Rattus norvegicus: one gene and its partner. The protein of the gene in region 1 interacts with the protein of each later gene in a pairwise test. Links are inferred from orthologs where the notes say so. Each region holds a gene or a part of one and is shown on either strand. Other genes may lie near its edges.

Region 1 (4,353 bases):
CAGCCTGATCTATCTATATAGTGAGTACTAGAACAGCCAGGGCTATGTAGAGACCCTGTCTCTCAAAACAAAACAAAACAAAATAAAAACCTATTTACAAAAAAAAATTTCCCAAATTTTACATGGTTGTTTAAAAAGGATCTTTAACCACAAATTGCAATTTAATTCAGCATTTTAATGGCCTTCAACTGATCGGTACTATTGGCCAGGTCTTCAAGGAGTTAAAAGTTAGCTTAACTGCCCAGCCAAAATGCCTGAGTCCTAACCCAAAAACTAACTTCCCCCACTGCTGTGGGCAGTCTTCAGTTCGATTCTGAGCTCTTGATACAGATGCCCAACATGTTGTTTCTTACAGTAAAAACCTATAAAAGACACTCTAAACTAAGTAAGCAAGAAATTAAACTTGCTAAAAAATGGCCTCCCGGGCTGGAGAGATGGTTCAGTGGTTAAGAGCACTGACTGCTCTTCCTAAGGTCCTGAGTTCAAATCCCAGCAACCACATGGTGGCTCATAACCATCTGTAATGGGATCTGATGCCCTCTTCTGATGTGTCTGAAGACAGCTACAGTGTACTTATATACAATAAATAAATCTTTATTAAAAAAAAAAAGATAGCCTCCCTCCAAGCCCATAAAATAGGCAACCTTCTTACAGTCAGGCAAAAGAAATTGGCTTTTTTCACTTGGTGTTAACCAATCTAATCTGGCTTAATTCTCATACTTGCAGCAGTTAGGAACTTATAAAAAACGAAAACACTTACATTTAAGCACTCCTAGTACCCTCATCGTCCCTGAAAACAGTAAGACAGACTCTCCTAGAAAGACCCTATGTCCTCATTTACTCTGCAAATGTCCTTACAATTAGACCTTAATTTTATGAATCCTGGTTAATAGAGACATAAAAAAAAAAAAGCCTGACAGTCTGTTGCTACAAGTTAAGGACCACCCCCCCCCAGTCCCATAACTATTCATTTAATACAAAGGAGCAATTGCATGTGTGTCTTTTACTTGAACAAGACACACATCTCAGGGCCAACCTCAAGAAATAATGCGAAAAAACATCCGAGAATTCACCACTACTGATGAAACCCACTGCTGATCCAGGTAGGGCTTTTTCCTCAGAAACAGAACAGCAAGAAAAAGTCCTGTCAGGTTCAAGCTGACACTTCTAGACCGTGACTTCAAAAAGTTCATCTTTGGCAATTGCGCCTAGATGATCAACCACACATCTTCGGCAACAGGTGCCACGAAACTGCATCTCCCACGCAAAGCCAAGATCAAACTGGTTAGGACACACGGCCCCCGTGGTGTTAAACTTTTATTTGGAACTTAACCAAAGTAATTTTAAATCGGAAGGATTGACAAATTTGGTTTGGTCTAGTTCTCTGCTTTGCTCTTCAATCAGCCATTTACCAGCAACTGTTGCACGCGACCACGAGGGCTCACTCGAAGAACACAAACAAGCGCTCAGGACCCCAGGAAGCTCCCTGCTCACCGAAAAACAACCCTTCCCCCAAAACAGTTACCAAACTATATAACTAGGGGATAGGAAAGGAAGCACGTCTATGTGTGCTGCCACGATCTAAATTCTCACTTTTAAGGACCAGGTCATTTTTCTTTCAAATCTACAACAAAACGTATTAGACATGCAACGGTTTGCAAAGCAGGAGGCTTCTTTCATTGCAAAATAAATAAATAAAACACTCATACCAAAACAAGGAGAGAAAGACGAGCTCAATGGATACGTGTGTGCCAAAGTTTCAATCCTGACTGGTGGAGACACCGCACTTGGCACAAATTTTGAAGAGGAAAGAGAGGGAGGGGGGGAGAAGAAGAGCGAACGAGTGTGTGGCCTGCAAACTGCAACAATGCAATCTCCATTTTGAACAATGCGCCTCTTTCCTCTTGCAAATCTAGTTTTGTTTTGTCTTTTTCTTTTTTTTTTTTTTGTCACTAGACGCGCCGTGGCCTCCGCGTGGGGGACAGGCCGGGAGTGGGGGGAGCTAGGAAGCAGGATGCACTGCACTCGAGAGGGAGCAAGCCAGGGGGAGGGGAGGAGGTGGGGAAGGAGTCTCCAGGCGGCCTGGGTGGGTACCTGGAGTGCTGCTGTATGTACTATGGCTCCTGAAGCTGCTCTCCGTGCAGTAACTAGCGTCGTCGTCGTCGTCTTCCATCTCCTCCGGATAATCGGAGTCATCGTCGTCTTCTTCCATGTCATCTTCCTCGTCGTCCTCGGAATCCTGGGTCTCCTCGGCGTCGCCATCCTCCTCCTCCTCTTCGTCCTCCTCCGAGACCATGTCCTCCTCCTCATCGTCGTCCTCGCTCTCGTGGTCATCGTACACCACTTTGTTGACGGCACGGCGGGCCGAGGTGGTCCGGGCCAGGTGGCCGCCCCCGCCCCCCGTCCTGCCGCCCCCGCCTCCTCGGCCCCCCCGGCCCGGGCCGCTGGCGCTGCTGGCGGAGGCCGGCGGCGGCGGTGGCTGCTTCCTGCGGCCGCCCCCCCTGGGCGAGCTCAGCCGGGTCTTGGGCGCCACCTCAGCCTGGGCGGCGGCCCACCTGCCCCGACTGCTGCCGCGGTGCCGCGAGCGCAGCCCCCCGATGGGTCCGGAGGCGGGCGGCGGCGGCGGCGGCGGTGGTGGTGGCGGTGGTGGCGGCGGCGGCGGCGGCGGGGCCGGGGCGCAGCGCTCCGCAGCAGGAGCCGCGGGCTGCTTGGGCGGCCTGCCCCGCCGGCCCCTCATGTCGGAGCCGCGGCTTGAGGGGGGGGGAGCGGAAGGGGTGGGGGAGGGGCGCCGGGGGGCGCCGGGGCCGAGGGGGAGGGGAGGGCGCCGGGGCCCGGGCGGGAGGGGCGCGGCCCGGCAGCGGCGGGGTGGAGAGAGAAGGCTCAGTCCGAATTGCCGGGGCCCCGCTCCGGATCGCCTGCAGCCGCCATCTTGTTTCTTCCCTCTCGCTCGGTGACTGGGGGAACCGACAGCGGCCGCAGGCCCGGAGCGCGGTCACGTGAGCTGCGCCGCCCGACGAGCCTGGGACAGAGCGAGGCAGCGCGGCGGCCGCTAGGGGGAGCGCGGGAGCGGCGCGGCGGGGGCCGGGAGGCCCCGGAGCGCCCCTGCGCGGCTGGACGGCGGCGGCGCAGGGGCGAGATGGGTGGCGTGGGGTGTCTGTCCCCCCAGTCTGGTGTCTCCTCCTGAGAGACGACCCCCCCACCAACTGGAGCTCAGGGAGACCTCGATGCGTGTCTGTCCAAATCCGGGCCGGAAAACGAGCTTCCCCCAAGTCACTGGTTCTTTTGGGGAAATTGATGCAGAAAAAGCGGAGAGGGGGTTCTCGCGGGGAGGCGCGTCCTAGAGACTGAGGACAGTGGCCACGCAAAGCCACCCACTCAGGGACAGGAGCTGGAGATAAGTCAGTCCCAATACAGAACTCCCAAAGGCTTAGATCTAGAGGGGCCTGAAGTTGTTCCAGGATTGCACGCCTGGAGCCACACCCCCAGGGTGGTTTCACTGACTTTCCTGGAGTCCCCACCCTACCAGCCAGGGTTAAATTCCAGAGCATGGTTCCTTGCGGGCCTCCAGGCACCTTTCCCACTTCCCAGCTAGGAACTTCCACGCCTCAGCCAGAACTTGTGATAGGAAGGATGGTGTCCTGTCTATAATTGGCTTCTCAAAGTTATGTGTTTGTGTTACCTGGAAATAATGTCTACTTGACAAACTACCAGTCTTGGTTTGGCCTAGGGAGCTAGTCACCAAGATAAAATTCCAGACACATGCACCAAATGTCGCCAAATTGAGGTGGCTCAAGACAGTGTTCTCGGTGTGGCCTCTGGAAAGAAAAGAAAGGTTTTAGGAACCTATATGAGTGCTTATTGATAGATGTGAGTACCAAAAAAGTGATTTGAAGAAAAATAGTTAATATGATTCAGCCCACCAAATGGCTAATTACAATATGGTTCAGTGAATAAACCTGAAAATTGAAAACCAAGTATTAGGGTAGGAGAGATGGCTCAGTGGTTAAGAGGACTGCCTGCTCTTCCAGCGCTCCTGAGTTCAGATCCCAGCAACCATGTGGTGGTTCATAGCCATCTGTTATGAGATCTGATGCCCTCTTCTGGTGTGTCTGAAAACAGCTGTAGTGTACTCGCATACATGAAATAATAAATAAACCTTTTTTTTTTTTTAAAAAAAAAGCAAGTACTAATTGCCTACTAATTTATCACTGATTCACTTTACTTGGGTTGATCTCTGAGAGTGGTACCAAAGTAAAGAAAGTGAGCCCTATGAATTCTTTGGTAAACAAAGGCTAAAGTTTTGTTCAAAGACTACAGCTATAGGAATGCAGGCCCCAAATAGGCAGGTCTTCA
Region 2 (4,322 bases), on another chromosome or scaffold:
TGCTGCTGTGGTGAAGCCTATGGGGGGGGTGGGGGTGGGATGCGGGTTTGGGGTCAGCCTGGTGGAGACCCCGGAGACAGGGCTGTTCTCCTAGGCTGGGGACACCCTCCTCATGTGGCACTGTCCTCCTCCCACCACATCCTTGGTAGGCTGGGGCCAACTACTCCAGTGGAACATAGCCTTTCCCTGAGCTTGGGGCCTGTTCCGAGTGGTACCCATTTCTTAACCCTTAATACCTACAGAGACCTTCCCCCATGACAGCACGCTGTTGCCTAGCTTTCTAAAGGGCTGACTCTCAGTAGAGACGGCTGTGTCCCCCCATCCAGTGCCCCAGTCTCAGCTCCTTTAGTAAATAACCACATTGAAAACAGGTTCTGTTACTGGGTAGGGCTTGTTACACCCATGCTCATCTACTCCACCTGCCCCAAGAGTTGGAGACAAGAACTTGTGGCTGCAAAGTTGAAACCCTGGGGACAGGTTTTTTGGTGATTTCTTTCTCAAAGCAACCGCGTCCCACTTCATTTTCCCCAAGCACACCCAAGAGGCTGAGTTTCTGGTGGACAGCCTCCTGTGAGCCATGGTACTTAATTTAGTGATGTTCAGTTGCTTCCAATGGTGTTGTGCTTGCTTCTTAAAGGGTTCTCTACACGCCACGAGCTCTTGGCTGCAGCACCCTTGACCCAAATCAGTGAAAAAACCAACAGCTCTGTGCCCACCCAACCCCACTTTATCCCTGCCCTCCTAGCATCCCTTAGCATGTACCTTTGTTGCAGAGCTCACAGACATGGTGAGGGCCCTGGCTGTGCACCTTCATGTGGTCCGAAATATAAGCTGAGCTCAGCATCTTGCCACACACATGACATGGCACCTTCTCCTCGTGTCGTACTGTGTGCGCTCGGAGTCGATCCTTCGTAGCAAAAGCTGCCTCACATTTCTGGGGGGGAGGGTGTGGGGGGTCACAGGAGAGTTAAAGCTTCGGGGAGTAGAGAGAAGGGAGCAAGATAAAGGGATCAGAGCCTTGGGGATCTTTGATCTGTAGGAAATGGGCGTGAGATGACCAGGCCTTGAAGAAGAAATGTGAAAATGGAGTGAAGAGGCAAAAAGAGAGAGAAAAAGGGGGTCTGAGAGGCTGAACCCACACAGCTACAATGAGGATCAAAATCATGAAAACCAGGACAGGAGGAAGCGGGCTTCCTACCTCACATTTGAAGGGCCGCTCTGTAGAGTGCACTTGTCTGACGTGACTGTTGAGGTGATCCGGCCTAAGGACATGTTGAGGTGGGAGGGGGCGTGTGTTAGGGCTAAGGCTACAAGGTGAGGTGTGCCTCAAATCTACTTAGGTTCCTCCAAAATTCCTTTCCAAAGTCCCAGCGTTTCCCCACAGCTTCAGTCCTCAGGCAGGAGAGCTCTCAAACCAAGATTCCTCTTCTGCCCAGAGGCTACTTTCCTTCAGCCCAAAGACCCACCTCTTCTACAAAAGTACCACCCCCTGTTCCTAATAACCACGAGGCTCACTTCCCTCCTCCCTGGGAGTGGTGCCTGTCCCCAGGAACGGGAGCCGCCTCCCCACCAGCCAAAGATAGGCCACCTTGTTGCCCTCCCCCCACCATCGGCCTAGTGGGCAGCCGAGGCCCCTGCACACCGGGAGAAGCTCTTGCCACAGTGGGAGCAGTTGTAGGGCTTGTGCACAGCGCCGTCATGTGAGCGCACGTGGTAACTCATGCGGTCCTTGCGCTTGAAGCGCTGCTGGCACACAGGGCACTGGTAGGGCTTCTCGTCCGAATGCGACAGCTTATGTCGGTTCAGGTGGTAGACGTCGCGGAAGGCCTTGCCGCACATCTCACAGGCGTGATTCTTCCGGATGCGCTTTCCAGAGGCAGTCGTGGTCACAACACCACCAGCCGCCACCGCGGCCGTGCCGCCGCCAGCCCCGGCTTCTCCCCCACCCCCGCTGGCCCCGCTCAGCTGGGGGACGCTCAAGAGGCTCAGGGGCACCATCGTGGGCATCTTCATAGCACCCGAGGGGACCCGGCCAGCCTTGGCTCCTGTGTGGATGGCTTCGTGCCTTCGGAGGTTGTAGCCGTTCTTGAACTCCTTGGCGCACAAAGCGCAAATGTAGGGCCCCTTGCTCTTTGTCTTCTTCTCCAAGACAGATGCAACCGGGGCCACAGCGACCGTCGAGGTTGGGGCGACAACAGCGGTGGCAGCCGCTGCGGCGATAGTGGCAGCCGCGGCGGGGGGCGCGGCCTCGGCGGCTGGTGCGGATACGGCAGGGGGTGGTGGAGGAGGCGCCGGAGGCTGCTTCAGGGCCGCTGTGTCCACTGTGGAGGCGGCAGCAGGGGCCGGGGGTGCAGTAACCACTGCAGCGGCAGCAGCCGCAGCAGCTGCAGCCGCTGCGGCTGATTCTTGCGCGGCGGCGAGAACCGGGAGCAAGTCCACTTGGAGGGGCTCGGCCGCCGGGGCCTGGGGCGTGGGTGGGGGCGCTGGCGCGGCCTGCGGAGACAAGGCGCCGTGTGGGCCGCGGTCGCTGGTCGGCGCCTGCCCGCCCGGCCCGGCCCCTACTCACCTGGAATGGACTCTGGGCGCAGCCCTGGGAGGCAAAGAAGCGGGACTGGAGCTCAGCCCCGACCTGCAGGGGGTTCTGGGCGTGACCCTGAGGTGGCGGGAAGGAGTTCATGAGGCCGCCCACCCCCCGGGAGTCCAGGCCCAGCACGGGGAAGGGGGGGGCCAGCAGCGTGCAAGGGAACACGGGGAACATGGCCTCGGCCACAGTGGGGCCCCCGGTGCTCAGCGGGAGCCGGGGGCACGGGCCGCGCGGGGCCCGGGCTCGGGGCGCCGCCCCCGGCCGGCCGGGTTGGGCCGAGCCGAACGCATGGCCCGAGGGCCGCCCCGCCGCCCGCGCACCCCGGCCGGCGGGAGGGAGGGAAGGAGGGCGTCTTGTGGGGCGCGGAGCGCGGCGGCGGAGGCGACGCCCCCTGGGTGGGGGCGAGAGGCCCCGCGGGGCCGAGGGCCGGGGCCGGGGGCGGGGGCCCGGGCGGCGGCGGCGGTGGTGGCGGCAGTTGGAGCCTGGCGGGGCGGGGTGGGGGGAGCGAGGGAGCAGCTTCGGCCCCCGCCGCGCGCGCGCGCCCAGCCGGCGCCTCGGGGAGGGCGGGGGAGGGCGCGAGGGAGGGAGGGGGACAGCTGCGCGCGCACCGGGCGCGCGGAGGGGGTGTGGGACAGGAGGGAGGGCGGGCAGGAGGGGGTGTGGGAGGGGGGGCAGGGGCGGGGGGGCGGGGGTTGTTACCTGGAAGATGAAGCTGCTCCAGTTGCTGGGATCCATGGCGGAGGGAGGAGGGAGGTGGCTCGCGCTCACCCCGGGGCGGGAGGAGGCAGCGGTGGGGGAGGGGGGACCCGGGGAGGAGGCGCGCAAGGAGGGAGGGGGGAGGAGGGTGGGGGAGCGGAGCACACTGCGCGCCGGAGGGCGGGCGGGGGGCGCGAGGACACACAAGAGGCTGGAGCGGGCGCGAGCGCGAGTGCGCGCGGGGCCAGCGGGAGGGGGAAGTACAGGAGGGACTCTAGAGGGCGGAGGGACGGGGTAGCCACCCAGCAGCCCTAGCCGCCCCGAGCGCGAGACCCCCGAGACGGTTGCTGATTGGCTGGCGATGGTGCAGGTGGTGGGCGCGCGGGAGACTAGGCGGCTTCTCTTCCCCCACTTGAACGATTCCACCCCCCACTTCCCTCCGCCAGCGGCCGTTATTTCGCGCGCACGCGCACATAACACGGACGTCGTCGCTGAGCGGGAGAATGGGGAGCGCGCCGAGGGAGTACAGCGGGGCGGGGCTAACTCAAAGCGCGTGCTCGCTTAACGGTCGCTGTGCTTAAGCTTTCCGCTTCAGCTTTTTGATTCTTCTAGGCCACCGTCCCCTCCCCAATCCAGTGTTTTATTTACAATCTTGGCCTAGTTTGGGGGTTCCCCAAACATGGCGCCAATGGGTGTCCCGCAGAGCTTGATCCTGACCCCCAAGGTAGTTATAGGTTCTCCCTACAGCCCTGCCATCAAAAATCAGGCTCAAGCACGGAATAAAAGCTGTATTTACACAACATCACTATACAAGAATTTTTAAAAGAAAAAGGTAGTGTCAAGAGCTGGTAGTCAAGAGGGACCACTGTGCTGGCTGGCAGCCAAGCTCAAGAGATTCGCCTGTAAAGAAGAGGAAAGTGCGTTAATGTAACAGCCGAAGGTGGTCTGGGGTGGAATTACAACATGCAGGCCGGTAGAGAAAGGGCAAAGGTGGCCTTACCTTCAGGAAAGACTCTACCTGCTTCCCAGAGATGCCTTCCAC

What was found.
Region 2: the proteins of Bptf (region 1) and Maz interact in a two-hybrid assay, tested with the Homo sapiens proteins (2 studies listed by BioGRID). The link is inferred for Rattus norvegicus from reciprocal best matches to the Homo sapiens genes BPTF and MAZ.

Annotation. Positions count from the first base shown.
Region 1 is NC_086028.1:92,579,458-92,583,810, forward strand, and holds the start of Bptf (bromodomain PHD finger transcription factor), read right to left. Parts: upstream 2,957-4,353; 5' UTR 2,738-2,956; coding exon 2,095-2,737; intron 1-2,094. UniProt on the Homo sapiens protein: Regulatory subunit of the ATP-dependent NURF-1 and NURF-5 ISWI chromatin remodeling complexes, which form ordered nucleosome arrays on chromatin and facilitate access to DNA during DNA-templated processes such as DNA replication, transcription, and repair.
Region 2 is NC_086019.1:191,061,822-191,066,143, forward strand, and holds the start of Maz (myc-associated zinc finger protein), read right to left. Parts: upstream 3,069-4,322; 5' UTR 2,759-3,068; coding exon 2,567-2,758; intron 2,494-2,566; coding exon 1,643-2,493; intron 1,263-1,642; coding exon 1,199-1,262; intron 1,064-1,198; coding exon of another isoform or gene 968-1,063; exon of another isoform or gene 935-967; coding exon 763-934; exon of another isoform or gene 638-762; intron 18-637; coding exon of another isoform or gene 1-17. Other genes in the region: kinesin-like protein KIF22, read right to left, coding at 4,203-4,322. UniProt on the Homo sapiens protein: Transcriptional regulator, potentially with dual roles in transcription initiation and termination.